2 linked regions of the Macaca fascicularis genome follow. The protein of the gene in region 2 purifies or fractionates together with the protein of the main gene of each other region. This does not show direct contact. Links are inferred from orthologs where the notes say so. Each region holds a gene or a part of one and is shown on either strand. Other genes may lie near its edges.

What was found. The genes of interacting proteins can lie anywhere in the genome.
Region 1: the proteins of EIF4G1 (region 2) and EIF4A2 purify together in Homo sapiens (affinity purification with mass spectrometry; 6 studies listed by BioGRID and IntAct, with this or other methods). This does not show direct contact. The link is inferred for Macaca fascicularis from reciprocal best matches to the Homo sapiens genes EIF4G1 and EIF4A2.

The regions. Positions count from the first base shown.
Region 1 is NC_088376.1:11,705,765-11,710,833, reverse strand, and holds the end of EIF4A2 (eukaryotic initiation factor 4A-II), read left to right. Parts: intron 1-79; coding exon 80-189; intron 190-234; exon of another isoform or gene 235-361; intron 362-417; coding exon 418-561; intron 562-586; exon of another isoform or gene 587-764; intron 765-994; coding exon 995-1,132; intron 1,133-1,167; exon of another isoform or gene 1,168-1,299; intron 1,300-1,358; coding exon 1,359-1,448; intron 1,449-1,475; exon of another isoform or gene 1,476-1,614; intron 1,615-1,668; coding exon 1,669-1,748; intron 1,749-2,179; exon of another isoform or gene 2,180-2,290; intron 2,291-2,994; coding exon 2,995-3,139; 3' UTR 3,140-3,770; downstream 3,771-5,069. Other genes in the region: RFC4 (replication factor C subunit 4), read right to left, coding at 3,839-3,934, 4,012-4,125, 4,196-4,276. UniProt on the Homo sapiens protein: ATP-dependent RNA helicase which is a subunit of the eIF4F complex involved in cap recognition and is required for mRNA binding to ribosome.
Region 2 is NC_088376.1:96,235,077-96,240,409, forward strand, and holds the start of EIF4G1 (eukaryotic translation initiation factor 4 gamma 1), read left to right. Parts: upstream 1-1,845; 5' UTR 1,846-1,976; intron 1,977-2,789; exon of another isoform or gene 2,790-2,848; intron 2,849-3,064; 5' UTR 3,065-3,098; coding exon 3,099-3,158; intron 3,159-3,387; exon of another isoform or gene 3,388-3,447; coding exon 3,448-3,534; intron 3,535-4,028; coding exon 4,029-4,049; intron 4,050-4,625; coding exon 4,626-4,802; intron 4,803-5,015; coding exon 5,016-5,115; intron 5,116-5,333.

The DNA of each region.
Region 1 (5,069 bases), about 85 Mb from region 2:
TTTTTTTACTGTTACAGTTGAAAAGTCATCATATTACTGAGTAGATCTAGAAGTGACAGTATGACTTTGTTTCTAACAGCTCCAAAATGGATCAAAATGTTTGTTTTGGATGAAGCAGATGAAATGTTGAGCCGTGGGTTTAAGGATCAAATCTATGAGATTTTCCAAAAACTAAACACAAGTATTCAGGTAAGCATTACTTCACTCCCCTCTTAAAGGTACAGATGGGGTTTAATGCAGGTACTGTTACAATACAACTGACGTGTTTTATTGTCGTTCCCCCTGCTTAAAGCACTTGATGCATAACTATCTCTGTCTAACTCCATTCTGTAGTGAGACAGAGACGCTTGGCTTCAAACATTTTCTCTTGGGTATTACTGTGTAAGTTGTTCTACAACATAATTTTCTCTTTTCAAGGTTGTGTTGCTTTCTGCCACAATGCCAACTGATGTGTTGGAAGTGACCAAAAAATTCATGAGAGATCCAATTCGAATTCTGGTGAAAAAGGAAGAATTGACCCTTGAAGGAATCAAACAGTTTTATATTAATGTTGAGAGAGAGGTAACTGATTGTTAGACATTATTTTACCTTCTTGTATAAGCACTGTGCTAAAATTGCAGACACTAGGACTATGTCTTGGTTTTTGCAATAATGCTAGCAGAGTACACACAAGAAGAAAAGTAACAGCACTAGATTGTAAAGACTGGGATGGACCTCTTTCTTAATGTCCAATGTCCTTTGTCTTAAGATTTGGTGCAATATCTCATTAGACCCCTACGTTTTGAGACTGGCTAAGAGGGGCCAATTTTGGTATTTTGGGTAGAGACAGGGTTTCACTATCTGGAAACTGGTTGGAACTCCTGGGCTCAAGTGTTGGGATCCCGAAGTGCTGGGATTATGGGCATAAGCACTGTGCCTGGCCCAGAATGTATTTTTAACTGAAGAAAGTTGGAAAAGCTAAATGACTGTTAACTTTCTCTTCTAAACATTATAGGAATGGAAGTTGGATACACTTTGTGACTTGTACGAGACACTGACCATTACGCAAGCTGTTATTTTTCTCAATACAAGGCGCAAGGTGGACTGGCTGACTGAGAAAATGCATGCCAGAGACTTCACAGTTTCTGCTCTGGTAAGAGGTGTTCTAAAATGTCTGGATTTCCACTAAAGCAGGATTCAGACTACAATATAGCTGCTAAGTGCTGTGTTGTCGTTCCCCCTGCTCAAAATAAAGTTGTTTCTTAACTATACCTGTCTGCTATATTCCTGTAGCAGCCAGGGACGCTTGGTCTCATACATGTTGATTAAAATTACTGACCTGACTGGTGATTCTTGAATTAAGGTTTATTAATTTGCAGCATGGTGACATGGACCAGAAGGAGAGAGATGTTATCATGAGGGAATTCCGGTCAGGGTCAAGTCGTGTTCTGATCACTACTGACTTGTTGGTAAGTCTCTTAATGCTTTTTAAAAATCTACCAAAAGTTAGCTTTTTGGGGGGAAGGTTTTTAAGTAACCTTTGCCAGCTTGGGCTATTTGGAAGAGTAAAAGGACCACACTCCACAGTGGGCTATACCACTTAGTATAGTTCGCTACTATTTTGTGGCCTACATGACAGGTACCATGTTTTTTGAATTAGAATTTTTAACATATGCCATTGTGTTTCAGGCTCGCGGGATTGATGTGCAACAAGTGTCTTTGGTTATAAATTATGATCTACCTACCAATCGTGAAAACTATATTCACAGGTGAGAAGCCAGCATCTTGGATGTATTGAAAAAAAATTCATACATTTTTCTACTGTGATTTGTATGAAAGGTAACATCAAATCAAGGAATAGATTCAGTCAAGTCAGTAGTGTTCAGTAAGATGATGTAATTAAATTTGTACTAGGGGAAGGCTGACGAGAACAAAGTGGGAAAACTTGTAAACATTGCTCAGATTGTGGGCATAGGTTTTTTTTTCCCCCGCAATTGTTGGTCTTAGCTTATGCTTGAGCTTTTAGTGATGTTCTTGTGTCCATGTGCTTTTTCTTGATTTTTTCCATAGTTGGGATTTTCTTGGTGTCGCCTGGTAGCAATTTGAGTGAACCCTGGTTTAGTTATAGTGGCTTTATCCCTAAATAAATTGAATCGTACTTTGTTATGTGATGTAAAAAAAGACTTTTTAAAAAATACAGGAGTCGATAGCAGCAGTTGATGACGAGATGGCACTCAGAAACGGCGTTGACGTAATTTAGGACGTGGAATCATAAGCGAAACAGCACACTGTTTGAATAAAGAGCGAGTCGGTATTTATATTTGTTTTTCTTTTGTCATGATTATTTATTTTAAGTTGCTCCAGCTGAGGCATCTTTCGTATTAGTATTTCTGTTAGGGAACTTTTCTTACTAGGTGGTTTGTATTGTCTGGTTTCTAACATGAAGGTAGCTGTTTGGCGGTTAAACACGTTTTGAGTAATTTGAGTTACAACGTGTGAAACTGAGCAAAAAAGCAGTGATAAGTTTGGGTTACCATACCAAATAACTTGTTTTCCCACTGGAAAAAAGTAAGTTTTAGAAAATAGTTAACCTTTGCAGCATTTGTTTACAGTTTACAGTTCCAGAAGTGCGTCGAAATGGATTACATAACTGCTCTTTTATTCCTGGTGTTTACATCTGTCCCAGGCTGACACCTGCTCTTGGCTGGCCCACTTTGGTATGGGCTTTAATTTCACTACCCCAAACACAATACTGTCATCTGCTTTATAATAATGCTCAAGATGCCTGATAAAAATCTCATTTTGCAGCCAGACAAGCCTTGAATCCTTTTGGCACTAACTGCAAAGGAAGATTTTTTTCTCTAGATATGCATTAGCAGCTAGTGCTCCAGTTAGAAGCACGAACTATAACCTTGATAAGTAAACAGCAGCTGATGGTTAACAAGTGGATCGTCATGTTCAGTAGTTCATAAATTATGTGAGAAGTAACATTCTGATTGTTTTTTTCTTACACAGAATTGGCAGAGGGGGTCGATTTGGGAGGAAAGGTGTGGCTATAAACTTTGTTACTGAAGAAGACAAGAGGATTCTTCGTGACATTGAGACTTTCTACAATACTACAGTGGAGGAGATGCCCATGAATGTGGCTGACCTTATTTAATTCCTGGGATGAGAGTTTTGGATGCAGTGCTCGCTGTTGCTGAATAGGCGATCACAACGTGCATTGTGCTTCTTTCTTTGGGAATATTTGAATCTTGTCTCAATGCTCATAACGGATCAGAAATACAGATTTTGATAGCAAAGCGACATTAGTCGTGAGCTCTTGTGAGGAAAGTCATTGGCTTTATCCTCTTTAGAGTTAGACTGTTGGGGTGGGTATAAAAGATGGGGTCTGTAAAATCTTTCTTTCTTAGAAATTTATTTCCTAGTTCTGTAGAAATGGTTGTATTAGATGTTCTCTATCATTTAATAATATACTTGTGGACTAAAAGATATAAGTGCTGTATAAAATCAGCCAATTATGTTAAACTAGCATATCTGCCTTTATTGTGTTTGTCATTAGCCTGAGTAGAAAGGCCTTTAAAATTTTTTTAGAAAGCATTTGAATGCATTTTGTTTGGTATTGTATTTATTCAATAAAGTATTTAATTAGTGCTAAGTGTGAACTGGACCCTGTTGCTAAGCCCCAGCAAGCAATCATCCTAGGTAGGGTTTAATCCCCAGTAAAATTGCCATATTGCACATGTCTTAATGAAGTTTGAATGTTAAATAAATTGTATATTCACTTTAAAGGTGCTTTTGGTCATTTTTATTACAACCCCCTTATTTACAAAACCCCACATCAAAATATATTCACTTTTTAACAATTCTGAGATAATTGCTGCATCACAGTTGCACAAAGGCTGATGAGTTGCAAATGTTCATCAGCACCATCTGCTAGGCATTTGTCAACTTCCTACAAGAAAAATTTAAGAAATTAGCATCCTTCAGGTAGTTAAATGTTTAATTGACATGTGCAAAGTACCTACTTACGGCAAGTTTTTCTGTAATAATGGACTTCTGTTTATCAGATAAATTATTCTCTACAACCACATCATGGAGTTGACTGACGAACTGAGTTGCTGCATGACCCTCATCTATTAAGTCCTATTAAAAAAAAAACTTTTGGTATGATCATTTAATATTCCTTTCCCCAAAGTTAGTAAGCTGACTTTACCTTGACCACAGCTTCTAGTTTGTCAAAAGAGCCACTCTGACAGGCAGCAAATACTCCATCAATTTTCTCAGCTGGTATTACCTAGGTAATTGAACGTTCAGTATTAAAGATGTTTCTAGGTGAGACTAACACATACAGTCCCCCCAGTCCTTTCTGTTCCACAGCTAAGTTCCATACTTAGCTAATGTTGTGATAACCCTGTAAAGTTGGGAAGGCTTTGGGAGAACAGCCAGAGTAACTCCAGTCACCACTGAAGTAACCAAGGTGCTAACAGTTGTGCTTTTAAAGCCCAAGTTTGGACACACATGGGTTATAGCTTGTTCTGGTCAGTGGATGAAGACTAGTGGCCAAGATCAGCCAAAGAGACTGATTTCTTTAAAGGGGAAGTGCCTTTTCTCTAAAAATCCATGTAAATATGCCACTAATGAGATTGGTTTAAAAAGTCCACAATATCCAGAAAATTTAAGATGATTAGTGGTACCAGTCTTGTCATATGGAAGGCCTACGTTTTTAAGTAGTAGTGGTTCTGAGGTGAGTTTTGACATGGGAGTATCCAAAGACAGGTGGGGTACTCCATTCTCTTTAATGATTACTGCAAGTTGGATATGCCTTTTGTTTATATACAACTGGCAAAATAGTTTTCATGTATAAGAACATCTGCTAAAATTGATGTAACTGCCAAAGGCATCTCTTAAAAAAATCTAAAAACTGAAGGCTGGGCACTGTGGCTCCCACCTGTAATCCCAGCACTTTGGAAGGCTAAGGGGGGCAGATCACCTGAGGTCAGGAATTCAAGACCAGCCTGGCCAACCAACATCGTGAAACCCCATCTCTATTAAAAATACAAAAATTAGCTGGGCATGGTGGCAGGTGC
Region 2 (5,333 bases):
TCTGCTCTTTTTATATTTTATTTATTTATTTATTTATTTGAAACAGAGTCTCACTCTGTCGCCCAGGCTGGAGTGCAGTCGTGATCTCAGGTCACTGCAGCCTCCAACTCCCAGGTTCAAGCAATTCTCCTGCCTTAGCCTCTCCACTAGCTGGGACTACAGGTGCTTGCCACCACATCAGGCTGATTTTTCTATTTAGTGTAGAGATGAGGTTTCACCATGTTGGCAAGGGTGGTCCCGAACTCCAGACTTCAGGTGATCTGCCCACCTTGGCCTCCCAAAGTGCTGAAATTACAGGCGTGAGCCAGCGTGCCTGGCCTTATTTTTTATCTTTATTTTTTGAGGCGGAGTCTCACTGTCATCCAGGCTGGAGTGCAGTGGCGCAATCTTGGTTCACTGCAACCTCCCTCTCCCGGGTTCAAGCAGTTCTCTGCCTCTGCCTCTGCCTCCCGAGTGGCTAGGACTACAGGCGTGTACCACCAGGCCCGGCTAATTTTTTGTATTTTAGTAGAGACGGGGGTTTCACCATGTTGGCCAGGATGGTCTAGATCTTCTGACCTTGTGATCCGCCCACCTCGGCCTCCCAAAGTGCTGGGATTACAGGCGTGAACCACCGCGCCCCGCCCACGATCTTTTTAAACTACAAATCTCATACTACTTGGCCTAGTTAGAATGTTTATATCCTTTTAATTTCCTTTGTTATAGCCCTTTCAATGACCTAATCTAAATTATTTTCAAAGCCTGCATAATTCGTATTGTATCACGATTTACTTAGGCAGGACTGAGTCTTTAATTTCTTTTCTTTTTTTTTTTTGATATGGAGTCTCACCCTGTCGCCAGGTTAGAGTGCAGTGGCACAATCTCGGCTCACTGCAACCTCCGCCTCCCGGGTTCAAGCAATTCTTTGCCTCTGCCTACTGAGTAGCTGGGACTACAGGCGCCCGCCACCAGGCCCGGCTAATTTTTTGTATTTTAGTAGAGACGGGGGATTCGCCATGTTGGCCAGGATGGTCTCGATCTCCTGACCCCGTGATCCGCCGGCCTCGGCTTCCCAAAGTGCTGGGATTGCAGGCGTGAGCCACCGCGGCCGGCCCATGATCTTTTTAAACCACAAATCTCATACTACTTGGCCTATTTAGAATGTTTCTATCCTTTTAATTTCCTTTGTTATAGCCCTTTCAATGGCCTAATCTAAATTCTTTTCAAAGCCTGCATAATTTGTATTGTATCACGATTTACTTAGGCAAGACCGAGTCTTTAATTTCTTTTCTTTTGTTTTTTGAGATGGAGTCTCGCCCTGTCGCCAGGTTAGGCTAGAGTGAGGTGGCACAATCTCCGCTCACTGCAACCTCTGCTTCCCGGGGTCAAGCAATTCTCCTGCCTCAGCCTCCCGAGTAGCTGGGACTACAGGCACACGCCACCACGCCCCGGTAATTTTTGTATTTTTAGTGGAGACGAGGGTTCACCATGTTGGCCAGGATGGTCTCGATCTCTTGACCTCGTGATCCGCCCACCTTGGCCTCCAAAAGTGCTGGGATTACAAGCGTGAGCCACTGCGCCCGCCTTTTTTTTTTTTTGCCAAGTCTTTAATTTCAGTTTCTCAGGCCCCAACCAGCACTTCGCCTTGTACTTAGCATGCACTCAATAAATGGTTGCTTAAAGTATGAATGAACTGAAGAATCGCGGAACAGACAGAGACCCAGAGGGGAGTCGGTCCGGGAGTCTCAAAGTTCGGGAGGGGACACGGGGGCGGGCTGTGGCTGTCATGTGACGGGGCGGGGCAAATCCCATGTGCTCGGCGACGCAGAGCGCCCGGCGCGGCTCCGCCCCCTGCGCCGGTCACGTGGGGGCGCCGGCTGCGCCTGCGGAGAAGCGGTGGCCGCCGAGCGGGATCTGTGCGGGGAGCCGGAAATGGTTGTGGACTACGTCTGTGCGGCTGCGTGGGGCTCGGCCGCGCGGACTGAAGGAGACTGAAGGTAAAGCCGCCATGTCCGGGCCCGACCCGGCCCCCCCACCCCCTCCCCCCGCATCCGCCGCCATCCGGGCCGGGACCGGCCACCCTGCGCCGCCGCCCCGGCGCCCTAGCCCCGCGGCCCGAGCCCGGGCCCCGGCCCGCCAGGGCCCCGATCCCCGGCCCACGTGTGCCTGGCCCGGCCCGGCCTGGCTGCTGGGTGGGGGTGGGGAGCGCAGGGCCGGACTATGCGGGCCCCGCGGGCTGGGAGGGCGCCGGGTTCGTCGCAGCGAAATGCCACCTCGGCCTGACCCGAGGAGGCCCGGCAGCCCACGGGCGCAGGCACCACGGCTCCCGGCCCGCCGCCCCCTCCCCCCTTCGCGGCCGGGCCGCCGGGAAGTGACACGTTGTTCTTTGGCACTGGCCCGCGCTGCGCAAGGAGGGCGCAGGGGAGGGAGGAGGTGGCGGCGGGCAGGGAGGAGCCCCCGGCCCCGCCCGCCCTCCGGGCCGACCCTCACTTGCCTGAAACCGGCTCCTCGACGGCCGCCGCCCGCCTGGCCTTTTAGGGCCTGACTCCCGCCCTTCCTGGCCTACACTCCTGGGCGGCGGCAGGCCTAGCTTCTGGCCCAGTGCGGGTTCCCTGGCGGCAGGCGTATCTTGTGTGCCCCTGGGCCAGGCCCGAACCCGGTGTGCCCGGGTGGGGGGTGGGGACACCACGGCCGAAGCAGCTAGCTCCGTTCGTGATCCGGGAGCCTGGTGCCAGCGAGACCTGGAATTTCCGGTCTGGTTGGTCTTGGGCCCCGCGGAGCCAGGTTGATACCCCTCACCTCCCAACCCCAGGCCCTCGGATGCCCAGAACCTGTAGGCCGCACCGTGGACTTATTCTTAATCGAGGGGGTGAGTGAGGGGACTGTTTGAGTAGACCAGGGGTTGGTTGGAAGTGATGTGGGATTGACAGCATGTTGGTGGGGACAGGCTCTATCTTTTCTGCTTCACCCTCTTGGCATCTCTGGGACTCCGTATGGGACCCAGCCTTGCATCAACCCTTCTACCGCCCCATTTGCCTTAAGCTTGGGTCCTTTCCTCTTCCTGAGCGCCACTCTTTCCCAACAGGTGCTGGGGGGACCCTGATGTGGCACCAAATGAAATGAACAAAGCTCCACAGTCCACAGGCCCCCCACCCGCCCCATCCCCCGGACTCCCACAGGTAATTAGGGAGGAATTAGCAGGGGTGGGGGTGGGGGAGACCAGGCAGTCGGGCAGGAACAGGTTCCAGCCTCTGGATTTTCCTACCCCCATCTGTGTCAGGGCAAAGTGCAGCCGCCTGCTGCCAAATTGAGACAGGGCCCCTGGGCTGTCCCCGGGGGCTGTCACGGGGAGGGGGTATGTGGATTGTTAAGGCTCTTGCCGCAGATCTGCTCCCCTTATTTCACCAGCTTGGGTTTCTGCCCCACCTGGGCTTCCCCTCTTGCTGAACTCTGGTCTCCCCTCTTCAGCCAGCGTTTCCCCCGGGGCAGACAGCGCCGGTGGTGTTCAGTACGCCACAAGCGACACAAATGAACACGCCTTCTCAGCCCCGCCAGGTGAGGGGCTGTGGGGAGGGGAGTAGGGGTTCTGGGTGGGAGCAGTGGAAAGCTTTGGCCAATTTAGGCCTAAGATGGAAACTGGAGGCCCCGTACCTGGCCTTAATCCTCTGTGTTCTTTCATGCGGCTCTGCGCCTTGCCCTGTTGATTACTTACGGTGGCTGGTCCCTTGGATAGTATATTGTCAATGAGGGTGGCATTACTGGGATCCTAGTGCATCTAAGAATTGGGGGCAGTGCTTTGGGCCCTGCTGCCAACTCTTGCTTTCCTATTTGCTCCTTTTACCGGAGGCTGCCATTGCTCTATTGCTCTCTCTGCTTTCTCTTTGGACTGTGGTGAGGTAAACACTTCAGCTGGTCCTTGCCTTTCTCTGTTCCGCAACTTCTTCCTTACTAAGTGGGAGGATTCTTGTCCTGTCCTATTGCCTTCATTCCCTCCCCCCGCCATCACCTTGGGGATAATTCTCTTCTTTCCTGTCCCCATGTGCTCTCAGGGAGGATTCAGGTCTCTGCAGGTAATACCCCTTTCCTAACCCTGGACGGTCTCCTGGTCTCATCCTTACCCTCCATCCTAGTCAGGGGCTAGACACAGGGAATGGGAGTCTTCAGGGTGGTGACTTGTTTGGTGTCCAGGTTCTCAGTTGGACGCCGAGTGATGCATGTTAGGGGCTACATCTTGAAGAAGGCGCATCTGGGGACTGGGAGGCTGTTGCATGTTATGGTTAGCTCCTCATTACATGCTGGTGGAGCAGTGCATGCTGGGGGTATGTTGCCCGAAAGGGCCTTACTTAGGCATGATGCATCTGGGTGTTAGGAAGCCTCTGCAGAGGGGTAGTTTGGTACAGGTGACATGCGTAAGCATGGCAGTGAGAGAGTAAATCTATACAGGATGCAAACTGTACATCTGAATTTGGAGGGTGTGTGTGTGTTCAAGAAGCTGCTTAACCATTTGGTCAAGTGGTCTTGGAAGGATTGGTCTCGATGTTCTGAAGCCCACAGTACTTTCCAGGCTATAGAGACATTGTGGAGTGGCTATGTTTTGTCCACTTCTTCCTCTTTACAATGCCAACTGCTTTCCTCCCTCCTGACAGCACTTCTACCCTAGCCGGGCCCAGCCCCCGAGCAGTGCAGCCTCCCGAGTGCAGAGCGCAGCCCCTGCCCGCCCTGGCCCAGCTGCCCATGTCTACCCTGCTGGATCCCAAGTAATGATGATCCCTTCCCAGATCTCCTACCCAGCCTCCCAGGGGGCCTACTACATCCCTGGACAGGTGAGGCTGGGGGCTTGGAGCCTAGAAGCCACAGACCCATATACTTCTCACTTCCCTCACCCTGACCCTCCAGTTCCATTCCTTTTCCAGAGGTGGGACTTACTTCTGATCATTGCCCAGAGTTGGCTTGTCTTGTCTTGACCTCCATTCTTTTTGGAGTCTGATATGGAACTCATAGCTCCCTCAACTCCTTCTCTCCCCCTCCCCAACCAGGGGCGTTCCACATATGTTGTCCCGACACAGCAGTACCCTGTGCAGCCAGGAGCCCCAGGCTTCTATCCAGGTGCAAGCCCTACAGAATTTGGGACCTACGGTAAGCAGGGGAGGGAGTCGGAGGTGAGATCAAGCCCAAGGGAGCATGTAAACCCATCTGCTGATTTCTAAAGCAGAAGACCCTTCCCAGGCTTGGCTTTTGGTCTAAAAATGATAAAGTTAATAGGTGGTAGGGATTGGTGCTTAATATTTAACTGGTGTTGATTGTGGGGAGAAAATGTGATTCTATTGCCAGGAGAGTTTAGGGTCTTCCCCACA